Linked DNA regions of Arabidopsis thaliana. The protein of the gene in region 3 interacts with the protein of the main gene of each other region in a pairwise test. Each region holds a gene or a part of one and is shown on either strand. Other genes may lie near its edges.

What was found. The genes of interacting proteins can lie anywhere in the genome.
Region 1: the proteins of AT2G32840 (region 3) and MAP70-5 interact in a two-hybrid assay, tested with the Arabidopsis thaliana proteins (one large-scale study listed by BioGRID).
Region 2: the proteins of AT2G32840 (region 3) and HB-3 interact in a two-hybrid assay, tested with the Arabidopsis thaliana proteins (one large-scale study listed by BioGRID).

Annotation. Positions count from the first base shown.
Region 1 is NC_003075.7:9,656,141-9,661,450, reverse strand, and holds MAP70-5 (microtubule-associated proteins 70-5), read left to right. Parts: upstream 1-1,874; 5' UTR 1,875-2,045; coding exon 2,046-2,106; intron 2,107-2,202; coding exon 2,203-2,288; intron 2,289-2,444; coding exon 2,445-2,510; intron 2,511-2,609; coding exon 2,610-2,780; intron 2,781-2,864; coding exon 2,865-3,191; intron 3,192-3,273; coding exon 3,274-3,420; intron 3,421-3,512; coding exon 3,513-3,584; intron 3,585-3,652; coding exon 3,653-4,084; intron 4,085-4,159; coding exon 4,160-4,311; intron 4,312-4,415; coding exon 4,416-4,443; 3' UTR 4,444-4,799; downstream 4,800-5,310. Other genes in the region: SCL13 (SCARECROW-like 13), read left to right, coding at 1-233; AT4G17215 (Pollen Ole e 1 allergen and extensin family protein), read right to left, coding at 5,026-5,303. UniProt on the Arabidopsis thaliana protein: Plant-specific protein that interact with microtubules and regulates microtubule dynamics. May play a role in anisotropic cell expansion and organ growth.
Region 2 is NC_003071.7:14,340,911-14,345,563, reverse strand, and holds HB-3 (homeobox-3), read left to right. Parts: upstream 1-1,785; 5' UTR 1,786-1,966; coding exon 1,967-2,093; intron 2,094-2,178; coding exon 2,179-3,000; intron 3,001-3,309; coding exon 3,310-3,527; 3' UTR 3,528-3,919; coding exon of another isoform or gene 3,920-3,925; 3' UTR 3,926-4,142; downstream 4,143-4,653. UniProt on the Arabidopsis thaliana protein: Homeodomain transcription factor required for meristem growth and early development. Promotes cell proliferation and prevents premature differentiation in meristematic tissues during postembryonic development.
Region 3 is NC_003071.7:13,932,320-13,936,934, reverse strand, and holds AT2G32840 (proline-rich family protein), read left to right. Parts: upstream 1-1,985; 5' UTR 1,986-2,098; coding exon 2,099-2,653; intron 2,654-2,896; coding exon 2,897-2,949; intron 2,950-3,039; coding exon 3,040-3,079; intron 3,080-3,176; coding exon 3,177-3,254; intron 3,255-3,357; coding exon 3,358-3,471; coding exon of another isoform or gene 3,472-3,507; exon of another isoform or gene 3,508-3,564; coding exon 3,565-3,644; intron 3,645-3,740; coding exon 3,741-3,834; 3' UTR 3,835-4,096; downstream 4,097-4,615. Other genes in the region: AT2G32850 (Protein kinase superfamily protein), read left to right, coding at 1-88, 168-261, 340-1,004, 1,101-1,487.

The sequences.
Region 1 (5,310 bases), on a different chromosome or scaffold from region 3:
AGGAGTCAGAGAGAGTAGAGAGACACGAGGTACTGGGGATATGGAGGGTCAGAATGATGATGGCTGGGTTCACGGGTTGGCCGGTCAGCACATCTGCAGCGTTTGCAGCGAGTGAGATGCTGAAAGCTTATGACAAAAACTACAAACTGGGAGGCCATGAAGGAGCGCTCTACCTCTTCTGGAAGAGACGACCCATGGCTACATGTTCCGTGTGGAAGCCAAACCCAAACTAGATTGGGTAAGTTATAGTGATGATGGTTACTTGAGTGGATAAAGAAGAGCACAACAAAAACACATCTGTCGCTGTAAATTTTTTAGGATGTGCAATGATGTTTTAAGTTGTAACACAACCTAAGTTATATATGTATACAAACCAAACCTGGTGGTTGTTTTTCTCTTGTAAATTGTCATGTGGTTGTGGGTGGGTTGCTAGTAATGAAATATAACCAAAACATTGATTAGGTCATTTTATGATCTTCTTCTATATATACCGGTATAAGTCAACTGGCGGCTGAACAAAGGTCGTGAGGTAACAAAATATGAGACAAATCTACAGGTCAGATTGGGTTCTGAATTCTGATAAGGTCTTAAAAAGGAGCTCACCAACCCACAAAACCATGGATTGAACAAGTACAGGTCATTGCCTTCATTTTATTCTTTACTTTTCTAAGGCTCAAGCTTCCTTTATTGCCTTTAATAACAATATACTAATGAGTATTTTGCACTCAGTAACAAAATTCAGGAGAGTAATTTTTTGCCCTAACATGTTACTTTTATGTGTTAAGAGTTTAGAATTTTGGATCTATGATTTTAGTTTTTGTTAGGGAATCATATTCATATAAATAAAATATTGCCATTGACTTAATTGTTGTTATTCACCTAATTTCTCTCCAAATTTGGTCATTTACCTCAGTTGATTCTATATTATACTTGCTAAGTGTTCTTTGTCTAATTCTCTATCATTGTTTGATTTAATAATAACCAAACCTTAAGACTTGGAAGCAAAGAAGAGAGAAAATCCCAATTAATTTTTAATAATTCAAAGAGAGATATTGAGTGACTTCCACTAATACAAAGAAAGCTTGGTTTGTGCAATATTTTGCGGTTAAGCTATTAATTGCTGAGGCAACACCTTTTCACACTTTGCTTTCCTTCTTCCAAGTTTTCAACTTTTCTTTCTTACTCTTTCTATTAATCAAACTGCAACACAAAAATCATTTGGATAATACATGTTTAGAAGATGATTAAGCTTTAGTTTTATTTCAAGATTATCATAATTGTTATCTGTTGTTACCTACATTCATATAATCTTATCAAAAACGATAAAGACAAAAAGGGGATACAATATAGGTTTTTATTATAAAGAAACAGGAAAGAAAGAAAAGGGTTTTCACCAAACGAAATTAGTTCAATCATTTAAATTATCTTTATCCTTATGATTAGTGTCTTTATATCTGTCATATGCTGCTTCTCCTTCCAACTTCCTTTGGATTATATTCTCTTCTCTTTATTTTAATTTCCATTTGTGGTAGCTGTTTTATTTTTTGTATTTTCACGCCGTGTCCCTTTAAAATAATATTAACTACACCACTAATGTTGGAACATGAAAAACATGAATGAGGTAATTATGATGATGAACCAAATGTTAAGGACAAGCTCGGTGTAACTAAGAAGATAATTAGTGAAACAGAACAAGTCAATAACTTGTAAGCATTTCAGAATTGAAAATAAAGATAAGGGAGGATGAATATGAATTTAGTAAATGGGTAATGAAAGTGAAAGAAGAAGAGGGAAGGGTTGGTTACTGTCTCAAGGGTTTGAAATGGAGACGGTTGCTTGAGAATGAGGAAAAAGAGTTAGTAAGTTTTTAACTCTCTCTTTCTCTCTCCCTCTCTCTTTTTCAACGTCAATTCCTTTAAGGAATGGCCTCTCTCTCTCTCTGAAAGTGTGTGTGTATATATTAAACGACTCCATTTCTCCTCTGCTTAGACCAAAACTCATCTTCTATACTGCAACAAAGAAGGAGGAGCCGTTGAGACTACAAAATGACTGCAGCAGAAAACCCTTTTGTATCTGACACCTCTTCTCTGCAAAGCCAGCTTAAAGGTTCTTATTTTTCTTTCTGTTTATTGTTCATCAACCCTTATGAGTAATTTGCTTGATGTTGAGGTTGTTCTGCTTTCTTTTAATTCCACTCTGCAGAAAAAGAGAAAGAGCTTTTGGCTGCTAAAGCTGAAGTTGAGGCTTTGAGAACAAATGAAGAGCTCAAAGACAGAGTCTTTAAGGAGGTAACATGCATGATGATCATCAACTCTGTTTGTGATTGTTCTACAAAAACTTTAAGTCAATCTTACCTATAAGTTTTTTTGATCAATGTTTTCCATATTCAAACTGTCCTTTTTGAGCTTCTTGAGCTCTATTGATGCTACTTGGTGTTGTTTCAGCTTAGAGAAAACGTGAGGAAGTTGGAGGAGAAACTTGGAGCCACCGAGAATCAAGTTGACCAAAAGGTGAGGTTTTGCTCAAATACTATAGACCATCTTTGTGAAGGACTCATGTCAAAACATTAGAAATGACTAGAATAAGTTAAGCTTGTGACATGATTGTAGGAGTTGGAGAGGAAGAAGCTAGAAGAAGAGAAGGAAGATGCATTGGCGGCACAGGACGCTGCAGAAGAAGCACTAAGGAGGGTTTACACTCACCAACAGGACGATGACTCTCTACCCCTAGAATCCATCATAGCTCCTCTTGAATCTCAGATCAAGATTCACAAGCATGAGGTTCTTAAGACTATATGTATTTCAAATTTCTTTCTTGTATCAGTGTGAAGTGCCAGATTTTCTTGACATGCTACTGTTTGACAGATTTCTGCACTTCAAGAGGACAAGAAAGCGTTGGAACGTCTAACAAAATCAAAAGAATCGGCGCTTCTTGAAGCAGAGAGAATCTTGAGAAGTGCCCTTGAACGTGCTTTGATTGTTGAAGAGGTCCAGAACCATAACTTTGAACTTCGACGACAGATTGAGATATGCCAGGATGAGAACAAGTTTCTTGAGAAAATTAACCGCCAGAAAGTGTTGGAGATTGAGAAGCTCTCCCAAAGCATTGTAGAACTGGAGGAAGCGATCTTGGCAGGAGGAACAGCCGCCAATGCAGTTCGAGACTATCGCCGCCAAATCTCCCAGCTCAATGCAAGTGTTCTGTTTAGTTTCTTGTACTTCATTCTCACATTTGTTTTAAAGGAAAATCACATGATTTTTTCATCGTTACCAGGATGAGAAGAGAACCTTAGAGAGAGAGCTAGCCAGAGTCAAAGTGTCAGCAAGTAGAGTGGCACTTGCAGTTGCTAACGAGTGGAAAGATGAGAACGATAGAGTCATGCCTGTAAAGCAATGGCTTGAAGAGAGAAGGATTCTCCATGTACTCACTGCTTTTCACTTACACATCCAGTTAATACACACTGACTAGCTTATATGGGAAACATTAGTGTTGAACTTTGTGTCTGTGTGCAGGGAGAAATGCAGAAATTGAAAGATAAACTCGCTGTTTCCGAGAGAACCGCTAAGGCTGAGTCCCAGCTAAAGGTGATTGCTTATGTAGTTAATATTCTGTTGGTAAAAAGTGTAGTTTCTAATGCAAGTAAACATTATAGGAGAGGTTAAAGCTTAGGCTGAAAACCATAGAAGATGGCTTGAAGGGCCCAAACACGTTTTTCGTCTCTCCAACTACAAAGACTGAAAAATCTGGCAAGATTTTAGGATTCTTGACCAGTGGTGGTGGCTCAAAGAAAAGGTCTAGTTCTCAGCTAAGAGGCTCAGTTACAGGCAGAATCCATGCTATGAATCAGCCAATTGACAGAGTTGGGGAAAGTGATGAAATGGAGAATTCAAAGATTACTGCAAACGGATTGACTGATCAACATGAAGAAGATAGCGAAAGGAAAACAGAGGAAGATGGAAATGTTTATTCTGAAGATATGGTTTCAGGGTTTTTATATGACAGGCTTCAGAAGGAAGTGATTGCTTTAAGGAAGCTATGTGAGAGTAAAGAGGGTACTATAAATGCCAAAAATGAAGAAATCAAGGTAACTTCATCATCTTCTTGTGGTTGTTTAAGATCCTCAACTATATGAAACCTCTTAAGATACCTCTGTTTTTAGATGTTGTTGAAGAAGGTGGATGCTCTAACGAAAGCCATTGAAGTTGAGACAAAGAAGGCAAAGAGGGAAGCCGCAGCGAGAGAAAAGGAAAACGCATTGGCAATGTTGAATGAAGAGTCAAAACTATGTAGAAAGGCAAAACTACCGAGAAGGTTTGGTCATCACATCCTTTGTTGTTTGTCTTTGTCTTTTGAGAAGTATACATAGTCAAACATCAAGACAGTTGATATTTATATGTTTATGCTATGTTGTGCAGCCGCATACCCAATCCACGTTGCCAGTAGAGGAAGAAGAAGCTTATGGGATTGAATACTAAAGAATATGGTCTAATGTTAGGTTGTACTGTACATATTGAGTATTGGATGATGGATTATAAGAAAGTGAAAACTAAAGATCAAGAGATGTGTATGTGTGTTATGTATATCGGATTGCAAAGCCATGTTTCCAGATGATGACACAAAACTCCTCTCTCTTCTCCTACCAATTAGTTGAATGTTAGCAATTATCTTGGAAACCTATAAGTAAATCAGAATCAGCTAAACACAAAAACATGCATATTCTCTCTCAAAGTCATACATAACCATATATGTCTTCTCTCAGATTTTTTGGTCTTGCCTTGGTTGTTAGGCTAACATAACAAACTTTGCATCTAATATATATATCATAATCAGTTACAGGATCGTATGATCTCTGTAGTAGCAAGAAGATCCAAGCTTGAAGAAAACATAAATTTTATTATATACAAGAAGAGCATGAAGAACAAGATTTACAAAGACTATCTCTCTTTCTCACAAGAAGTGAGAAGGAACCATATAGAAATAAAGTCAGGACTGATCTTTCCTAGCAAGATTAATTTACAGTCTCTTTTACATGGTGCTCTCTTGTAAGGTGATATTTCCAGCTGTATAGACACGAGAGCCGTTGGAAGAGGAGAGGAGTTGAATACCTCTGTGAATCTTGGAAGAGCATCGATACGGTTTAGGGACAGAGAGTGTTTTAATGATACAAGCCTTGTCTAAGTCAGGAATCGCGTGGAGGTGAGAAGGAAGATCGATGACGAATTGCCCCAACTCATTTGTCACAGCTTTGATCCATTTAGATCTCCTCCTATGTCCAGTATGGCACTTGAAGCCAATAGTAGCTCCTGTATG
Region 2 (4,653 bases), 410 kb from region 3:
GACCGAGAGAATCCTCTTCTGCACAGACTGAAAATCCAGAAACTACATGATTTTATTTTTTTGTAATACAAGCAAATAATAAAAACCCATCTTGTTATAGTTAATAAATAAACATAAAATGTGAGAAAATTTACAATCTTTCTGTCTTGTTTTAATTAATGTTTTTTTTTGAGATGTCAGAGGAGAAAATAATAAAAAGGAGAAAAAATCCTAGTTCAGAACCAAACATGGATCACTTTCAAAGAATCTGTTGTTTCAATTTCTGAAGAAATTTGTGTTCGTACGTTTGAACTGCAGAAGCAGTTTGGAGTTTAATGCAAGAAGTGTAAGGAAGTGAGGCATGGGGTTGCATTAATGATCACTTTGAGTTTCTTCCTGTCTCTTACTGTTTTCTATCTCAGAAATTGATATTAGGAATGTGAATAACAAAACAAACGAATGAAATACCATGCAAACTCTAATATGGATGTAGTAACAGAAAATCTGTATTGCTCTACTAATTAAATTTTTTAATTTAGTAATATGAATTCAGAGTCTATTAGTATAAACCTAAAGTAAACAGAAATTTTTGGAGTGCGCTTCAAATACCCTTGTAAAATTACAGATGACTTTGTATGGCAACTTTTTAAAATTGCTAAAATAATTTCTTATAATAAATATTGAATATTTTTAAATAATTCAGTACCCACTCTATAAATCTATATAACTAGTCTCTCTCTTTTTTTTTTTTTTTGGGCACATATAACTAGTCTCTCTATCAGTTATTTTCATATGGATTTTGGATTTTTTTGTACATATATGAAAAACACAAATGATAAAATTATTTAATGGTATTAAGCATTCGCCACAGGGTATGCTATCAATTTGGTCATTTGTGAGTGAGATTGATATGGTTTGGGGCTAATTCAGTGAAGCTCCTTCGGACTCTCAAAGTGGTTTATTAGACAGTGTGAATGCATGCGGTCTTCTATTTGTTTGCGAGGCTAAAAGAAACGCTCATGATACACAACTAATCAAATGACTGTTGAAGAAATTTAAGATTTCCAAAATTGTCTTCTTCTATTTGTTATTGAAGTATTGGTCAATCCATCAGTGATTTAACGTTATAGCAATATAGGCTACTCGTCGACTAGCACATTTTGACGTACTTAAATACTAACCTTGTCACTCTTTTTTTAATACTGTAATAATGCCTTTTGAATTTCCATTGGTGATATACACATTTTCCCACTAGATGACACTAAAGGGAACTAACCCCTAAAACAGTTTTTATTTTATCATAATTGAACCATGACAAGCAAAACTGGATTCAAATCTAAAATGTCAAAGTGCTCCTCATAATCTATATATAAGCGATCAAAGACCTTCTATAGAATTAATAAATTTACTTTTTAATGCAATTTTTTTTGTTCAAAACTATTTAATGCAAGTATGCAACTAAATCATACTGTTTGACTGAAGTAGTTAATAATAAAACGTAATGAAAACAGTGTTCCTATTTTCTTTTATAACATTTCTGTTAATAGGATTTAGCCTACTTCTCTAATTCATTTGATTCCCTAAACAAGAGAAGTAGTGATAGTTTTTTTTGTCTTTACTAAACATATACACATAATGATATAGATACACATCTATACATCATAGATAGATACATAGATATAGAGAGAAAGAGAAATGGTGTATAGAAATATGGGTGAGACTTTAAATTAAATTTATGTAAAAGAGATGAATGAATATATGAAAACAGGTTGGGTAGGTGAAGAGAGGCTATAAGAGGGAGAGAAAGAGGTCGTAACCCTTTTGCCCTATTCACATTTTTATTTATCTTTCCATTTAGCCATTCTGTTCCCTGTCTCTTCCTCCTCTCTTTTTGACACATCACATCATCATCACATCATCATTCAACATCAATCATCATCATATGCATACACATACATCTGTGTTCTGCGGATCGAGTTAATTAGTTATGGCTTCTTCGAATAGACACTGGCCAAGCATGTTCAAGTCCAAACCTCATCCCCATCAATGGCAACATGACATCAACTCTCCTCTCTTGCCTTCTGCTTCTCACCGATCTTCTCCTTTCTCTTCAGGTCCTTCTACTTCTACATATTTACCAATTCAAAACTAAATTTTGTTTTAAAGAACTCTTATCTGATGAGATTGTGAATTTTTTAGGATGTGAAGTGGAGAGGAGTCCAGAGCCAAAACCAAGATGGAATCCAAAGCCAGAGCAGATTCGGATACTTGAAGCAATCTTTAACTCCGGGATGGTGAATCCTCCAAGAGAGGAGATCAGGAGGATTAGGGCTCAGCTTCAAGAATACGGCCAAGTCGGTGATGCTAACGTCTTCTACTGGTTCCAAAACCGTAAGTCCCGTAGTAAACACAAACTCCGCCTCCTCCACAACCACTCCAAACACTCTCTCCCTCAAACGCAACCGCAGCCGCAGCCGCAACCTTCGGCTTCCTCTTCCTCTTCCTCCTCCTCTTCCTCCTCCAAATCCACCAAACCCCGAAAAAGCAAGAACAAGAACAACACTAATCTCTCTTTGGGTGGTAGTCAAATGATGGGGATGTTTCCACCGGAACCGGCGTTTCTCTTCCCGGTCTCCACTGTCGGAGGGTTTGAAGGTATCACCGTCTCATCCCAATTAGGGTTTCTCTCCGGTGATATGATTGAGCAACAAAAACCGGCTCCAACGTGTACCGGACTCCTGCTGAGTGAGATCATGAACGGTAGTGTGAGTTATGGAACTCATCATCAACAACACTTGAGTGAGAAAGAAGTTGAAGAAATGAGGATGAAGATGTTGCAACAGCCACAGACTCAGATTTGTTACGCTACCACTAATCATCAAATAGCTTCTTACAACAACAACAACAACAACAATAACATCATGCTTCATATTCCTCCCACTACTTCTACTGCCACCACTATTACTACTTCGCATTCTCTCGCTACTGTCCCATCAACTTCGGACCAGCTTCAAGTTCAAGGTAATGTTAATATATAAAGTTATCACCCTTTTTAAGTTATAGATTACTTATATACATGTTGAAATTTTACTCAATCGTAGAGATACATTAATTTTGTGTCAACAATGTAAGGGACACATTGATCCATACAAATCTTTTTTTAAAACCTTCATGTTTAGTAGCCTTTAGATGATTCTTTATTTCTATATACCCTCTCTCTCTTTCTTGAAAATAGATTGTGTGAGCTTTACAATTTTGTTTTATATAGATTGTTATAGTCATTATACTAACATGAAATAATGGGATAACAATGGCTAAATATGGATGCAGCGGACGCACGAATAAGAGTTTTCATCAATGAAATGGAGCTTGAAGTGAGCTCAGGACCGTTCAATGTGAGGGATGCATTTGGGGAAGAGGTTGTTCTGATTAATTCCGCGGGTCAGCCCATTGTCACCGATGAATATGGCGTCGCTCTTCACCCTCTTCAACACGGAGCCTCGTACTATCTGGTTTTGTTTCCTCTCTATTTTCCTTTGTTATACTAATTAAGGTTCCACTATAGCTAGATACTACTCTATCGGTTAAATAAACTATGGTAAAATGAATACTTATTTAATGTCTATATAATTATAGTTTATACATCTATATTAGTACTAGTTTATTTCTTCATTGGGATCTAAAATGGATAAATGCATGCGAGAGACATGTTGTTTGGCTTAGGTCAACAATGTTGACTCAATCTAATTTAATTACACACACACACCTTGCGCTTCTTTAGAGCATTCATTGGGGTTTTTTTTCTTTTTTTGGCCTTCGTGTATTTTGACTTTTGTAGTATAAATTCTAATACTACCATATTTCGGAGGATGTGCCTGCATGTGTGTGTATATAATTGTTTATGTGATTTAATTTCGAGGTCTCTTTTCTGCTTTTGCAGATCTAGTCGTGTGGGAGATTTGAGTTTGAAGAAGAAATTAAGACCTGTCTCTTTCTTTCACCATCTCTCGTACGTAGGCTTAAATGTTAAGATTTTATAAAGTATTGGTTTCAGTTACCTGTTGTGACGGTGTTTATGTATGAGTTTCGGACAACATTCACAAAACTCTCTCGTTAAATTGTTGACCAATAATATATGATGTGTGTTTCATTATTATCTAAAGAAATCTATAATGTTGTTCTGTTTCTTCTTCTTGAAAAATTGATTATATATGTGGAATTGTTAAACAATGCGCTAATATGGGGATGAGTAATGTAGAAGCATCACATCACCCAGTGTGAAAGTGAATTAGGTCATGCGTTATGTTTAGTGTTTAGACTGTGATGTAAGGTTTACATGCGGGAAGTAGGGAACTTTGACTACAGTTCACGTGTGAGGTGATATTTCACTTTAATCCCGGGGATTAAAACGTTACATTAATATAATTATTATACTACACCTAATCCATCCCCTCTTCAGAAATGCATTATTACACTAATATAATTATTAATTATAAATTATAGACGGTTCACTCATTTTTATATAAAAAATCAATAAATAAATATGTACTCTATCAAATATATTACCCTTTAAAATTAAAAATGTATGAAAATTCGATTTCAAAGATGATTTAGTTCTTTTAATATAAAAATGCGTCGAATGATGATAGTACGAAAAAAATAGTTTCAGTTATT
Region 3 (4,615 bases):
AGAATCGCCTAAATACAGTGTATTTATTACGGATCTCATCAAAGAAATGCTCCAAGCTTCACCCGATGAACGACCAGATATTACACAGGTTAAAAGTCAATTTTTACTCATTGTTTCTTCTCAGTTGAGGAAATGTAAAATGTCTCTAACAACATGTCCATCTACAGATTTGGTTTCGTGTCAATGAGCAGCTTCCTGCTAATTTACAGAAATCATTACCGGATCGACCACCTGAAATGCAATCTACTGGAGTCCATGATGGTATAGTGAATAAAACCTATTTTGGATAGCTTCTCAAAGAAAGATGTGATTTCTTTTGATCCTTATGAATTTTGACAGGCTCATCAAAATCAGCAACTAAACCTTCTCCAGCACCTCGTAGAAGTCCGCCACCGCCGCCACCATCTTCTGGAGAATCAGATAGTGGAGGACCGCTCGGTGCCTTTTGGGCGACTCAGCATGCTAAAACCTCAGTTGTATCAGAAGATAACAAAAACATGCCTAAATTTGATGAACCAAACAGTAACACATCTAAATCTGAAAGAGTTCGTGTGGATAGTCATCAACCCAAAAAACCAAGTCCTGTGAGAGGAGAGGCTCGTGGTATTCAAAGAAATAAAGATCTTGAAACTACGATTTCTCAGAAGAATACAACTCCTGCTGCAGCCAATAACATGACAAGAGTGTCCAAGGATGATGCCTTCAACTCGTTTGTTGCTGACTTTGATACCACAAAGTTCGATAATGGTAATAAACCTGGCAAAGAAGAGGCATTGGAAGCTGAGATACAGAGGTTAAAAGACGAGTTGAAGCAAACAAAATCAGAGAAGGCAGAAATAACTGCTAAGTTTGAAAAGCTTTCTGCTATCTGCAGATCGCAAAGGCAAGAGTTGCAGGATCTCAAACAAACACTTGCCTCTAAAAGTGCCTCACCGTCACCGAGCAGAGACTCTTCACAAAATCAACCCTCTCCAGGGATGCATTCCATGTCATCAACTCCATCGGTATTATTCTTGGTTCTTGTTCATCTAAGCTTAGACACCCATACAAAAGTCTTCATCAATGTATATCTTAGAATTCTAATGTTCTTGATGAAACAGAGAGATAAGATGGAAGGAACAATGTGGGAACTTCAACAGGACAGATCTAACTGGTCAACTGGCAGCTCTGATACAAATTCATGGCAACCTTTTAGTGATGAAGCGAAACCCGTGATGGAATCTGCATCAAAGGGTAACAATAATACGATTAATCAGTCTGTGAGAACCAGAAGTAAACCAGCTTCTGCTGCAGGTACTCAAGGTTTTGAGCCATGGGGTTTCGAGACAGAATCCTTTAGAGCCGCTGCAACGTCTGCAGCTGCTACTTCTGCATCTGGAACACAAAGATCTATGGGCTCTGGAAACAGCACTTCACAGAGATATGGGAACTCAAAGATGAGAGAAAACCAGAAAACAGCTCAACCTGCTGGATGGGCCGGCTTCTAAAACTCACTCAGATGCGCATTGCTATTTCTTCCTCATGCAACAACAACAGCTTCATGTTGCTGCCATTACAGAATCTTGAATCTTTTTGTAGATGATGATCATCCCCTGTTTTTGTGCTGCTGCTAAATATACCCCACCCATATCCATTATGTTTTATGTAGAGTCTTAAACTTTACACATTCTCTGAGCTGTGGCCAGATATCTCAGCTTATGGATTATTATTGGAAAAATAAATAATTCAAGATTCAGACAGCTTACACTTCTTTCTGTGAAACTTAGAACTAAGGTCACATTTAATACCGAACCCAACCATACGATGGCTGCATTATGGTTTAAATGTTACCCAAAAAGATTTCAGCCGTAACTAAATCAGCATTTTAAAATCCTGGATTAATTTTCGTTAATGTAAATCTCACATTGAACCGGACCCGAGTAGAAAAAAGTAAAAAACCGAACCAAAACATTAAATACCGAGCCCTAGTTTAGTTAGTTAGAAGGAACTTAAAAAGAGTTCGTGTCCTGAAAATCAAAGAAAAAGCTACCAAATTTTGAATCGTTGTCTTTAACTTGATTTTCCCCAAATTTCTCAGAAATCAAAATCCGCCGGAACAATGTCTACTCCCGATCCCAATCCCAATCCAAATCCAAATCCTTCCGTCTCTGTAGCAGTATCGACTCCAATCGTCACCGCATCTGAATCTCCGGTGACACAACCTAACACAGTCATAACGCCGTCGTCTCAACCTCAACCTCAAACACCAGCTTCGTCGTACAGAGCCATAGCTCCGCTTCATCGTCATCATCCTCATCAAAATATCTACACTAACCCTTTACCGATTAGGCGTTCGAATTCCGTTACTAATTCGCCTCATCAGCCTCCTCACCCAGACCCGTCTAGTCTGATATACCCGTTTGGTTCTTCGGGTCGAGGGTTTCCGACCCGACCCGTTAGACAGAATTCCAATTCCGTCGCTGATCCAGTTGGTAGTCCTAGTCCAGGTGGGTATACTCCTCGAGGGCCAGTTTACGGATACCACCATGGCCAATTCGTGTCGAATTTGGATCCAATGAATCAGTTCATGAGAGCTGCACATCCTCAGAATCAACAATCTCCTCAACTTGGTTCCGGTCATATGAAAGGAGTTCCTCATTTTTTGCAACCTCGGGTTAGTTATCGTTTTCGTTACCAAAACAAGTTTGAATCTTTTTGTTTAATTCCATAGTTTTGTCAAGTGTTTTTTTTGTAGCTTGTGCTAGTTAGTGAAAATGTGTATGTTGAAGTGAAGATTATTTGCTTTGGTGATTGTAGAATTCGAATAGCAATCTCTAATGAATTAGGAAAGGTTGAAACTTCTGTTAGATATTTGTGTGAGGTTACATTTTGTAAATTTTGGATTTTTGATTGTTAGGCTACTCCTTCTCCAACTTCAATTCTAGACAACAGTGGGCATAAGAAGGCCAGGTACTTTATCTTCTTTGCCATTATGCTTTGTTAATTAGAAACTACTCTAGAAACTTAATAATGTCTCTGTTTCGTTTCCATGGTGTTTAGGAGCCGGGATGATGCTCTGGTCCTCGTTAGAAAAAGAAAGGTATAGTTTTATCCTTGTTTTTTGGTTTTGCATTATCGTTCGAAACCGCTTGCTTCGCCATTTGAGGAATTTTAAATACTTTTTATTTGTTCTGCAGGTTAGAATAACCGAGGGAGCTTCTTTATACTCGCTGTGTCGATCTTGGTTGAGAAATGGTGCTCATGAGGGAATTAAGGTTCGTATCCATTTCTTATTTCTGCTTTGTAGTATAATGCAACACTTGGATTTTTGTATATCTATTCTTGATATCTTTGGAAGATTAATGACGTTGTTTACAGCCGCAGCGAATTGATATGATGACATGTTTGCCAAAGCCTTTACCTGTGGACAAGACGGAGACAAGTTTGCCAAAAGATTTAGTTGAAGAAGCAATTTGCGAAGAAGACAAAGAGGTTTCGTGTTTCTCTGATTTCTTTCTAAAATGGTAATTGTGAAGGGTAAAGCTAAGTTTGATTATTTACTTCAACTCTCTTGATGAGCTTCAGGACGAGGAATCTGTGAAACATTTGTCAGAATCTGATCTTTTGAAAAGACATATAGACCGAGCTAAGAAGGTCCGCGCTCGGTGAGTCCCACAACATATCATCAAAGCTAAGTTCGATGGTTGAAGATTGAATATTTTTTGTTTTGAACAAAATTGTGTGGTTTGTTTTGTTTGCAGATTGAGAGAAGAACGGTTAAAGAGAATCGCGAGGTACAAGGCAAGATTGGCTCTTCTTCTGCCACCCTTTGGAGAGCAATGCAGGAACGAGTAATGATTTTAAAGTTAGGGACTTCGGTGTGAATATACTTGCAGTTGATTTAGAAATGACATAAATTATCTTAGAGCCAGAGTTATGTCTTATGTCTGTGTGTAATATAAGAAAGATTTTCTCTGAATTTTCGTCATACACTCGTATTAGATGATTCTAAACTAATCAACAATCTCAAGATTTTCTGAGATGGTTAACTTATATAGCTCTTATCTTTTTTTTTTTTCAAGAACACCTAGTAGTTCTTGGACAAGTAAAATTTTCAATATAGTATTCGGTCATGGTGGGTCGACCATGTTTTGAACGCTGGATCGATCATCATGTGGTCGGACGATCATAATTTCAGAGATTGATCGACCATCCTTGGAAGCACGAACACATTTAGTCATGTGTTTGAATTTTCTTTTATCTTATTTGTTTCCAACTCCCAAATGATACGAAATGTCACAAAAACTCTTAAAATCACTACATAATCTAAGACTTCCTAAGACACAAATACTCCTATGGACATTAAAACAAGATTTTATCAACAGTGAAGCCATATTATCATCACTGTAGTTCTGAAAATGCCATATTGCCCAAAGTCTTTTCTAGCTAGTATGCCATAGTGGCTAACATCTTCTTCTTTCTTTTCATCTCTCTAAATAAGCAAAAAATTGAGAGGCTTTCTCTTCCTCTTCTATTCCTCTCCAACATAGTATTCATTCTCTCCTCATCTCATCTCTTGTTTCTTTTCAGCCGGAGCTTGTGCCGATGGTTCTACGTCGATCTCACTCTCTCAACG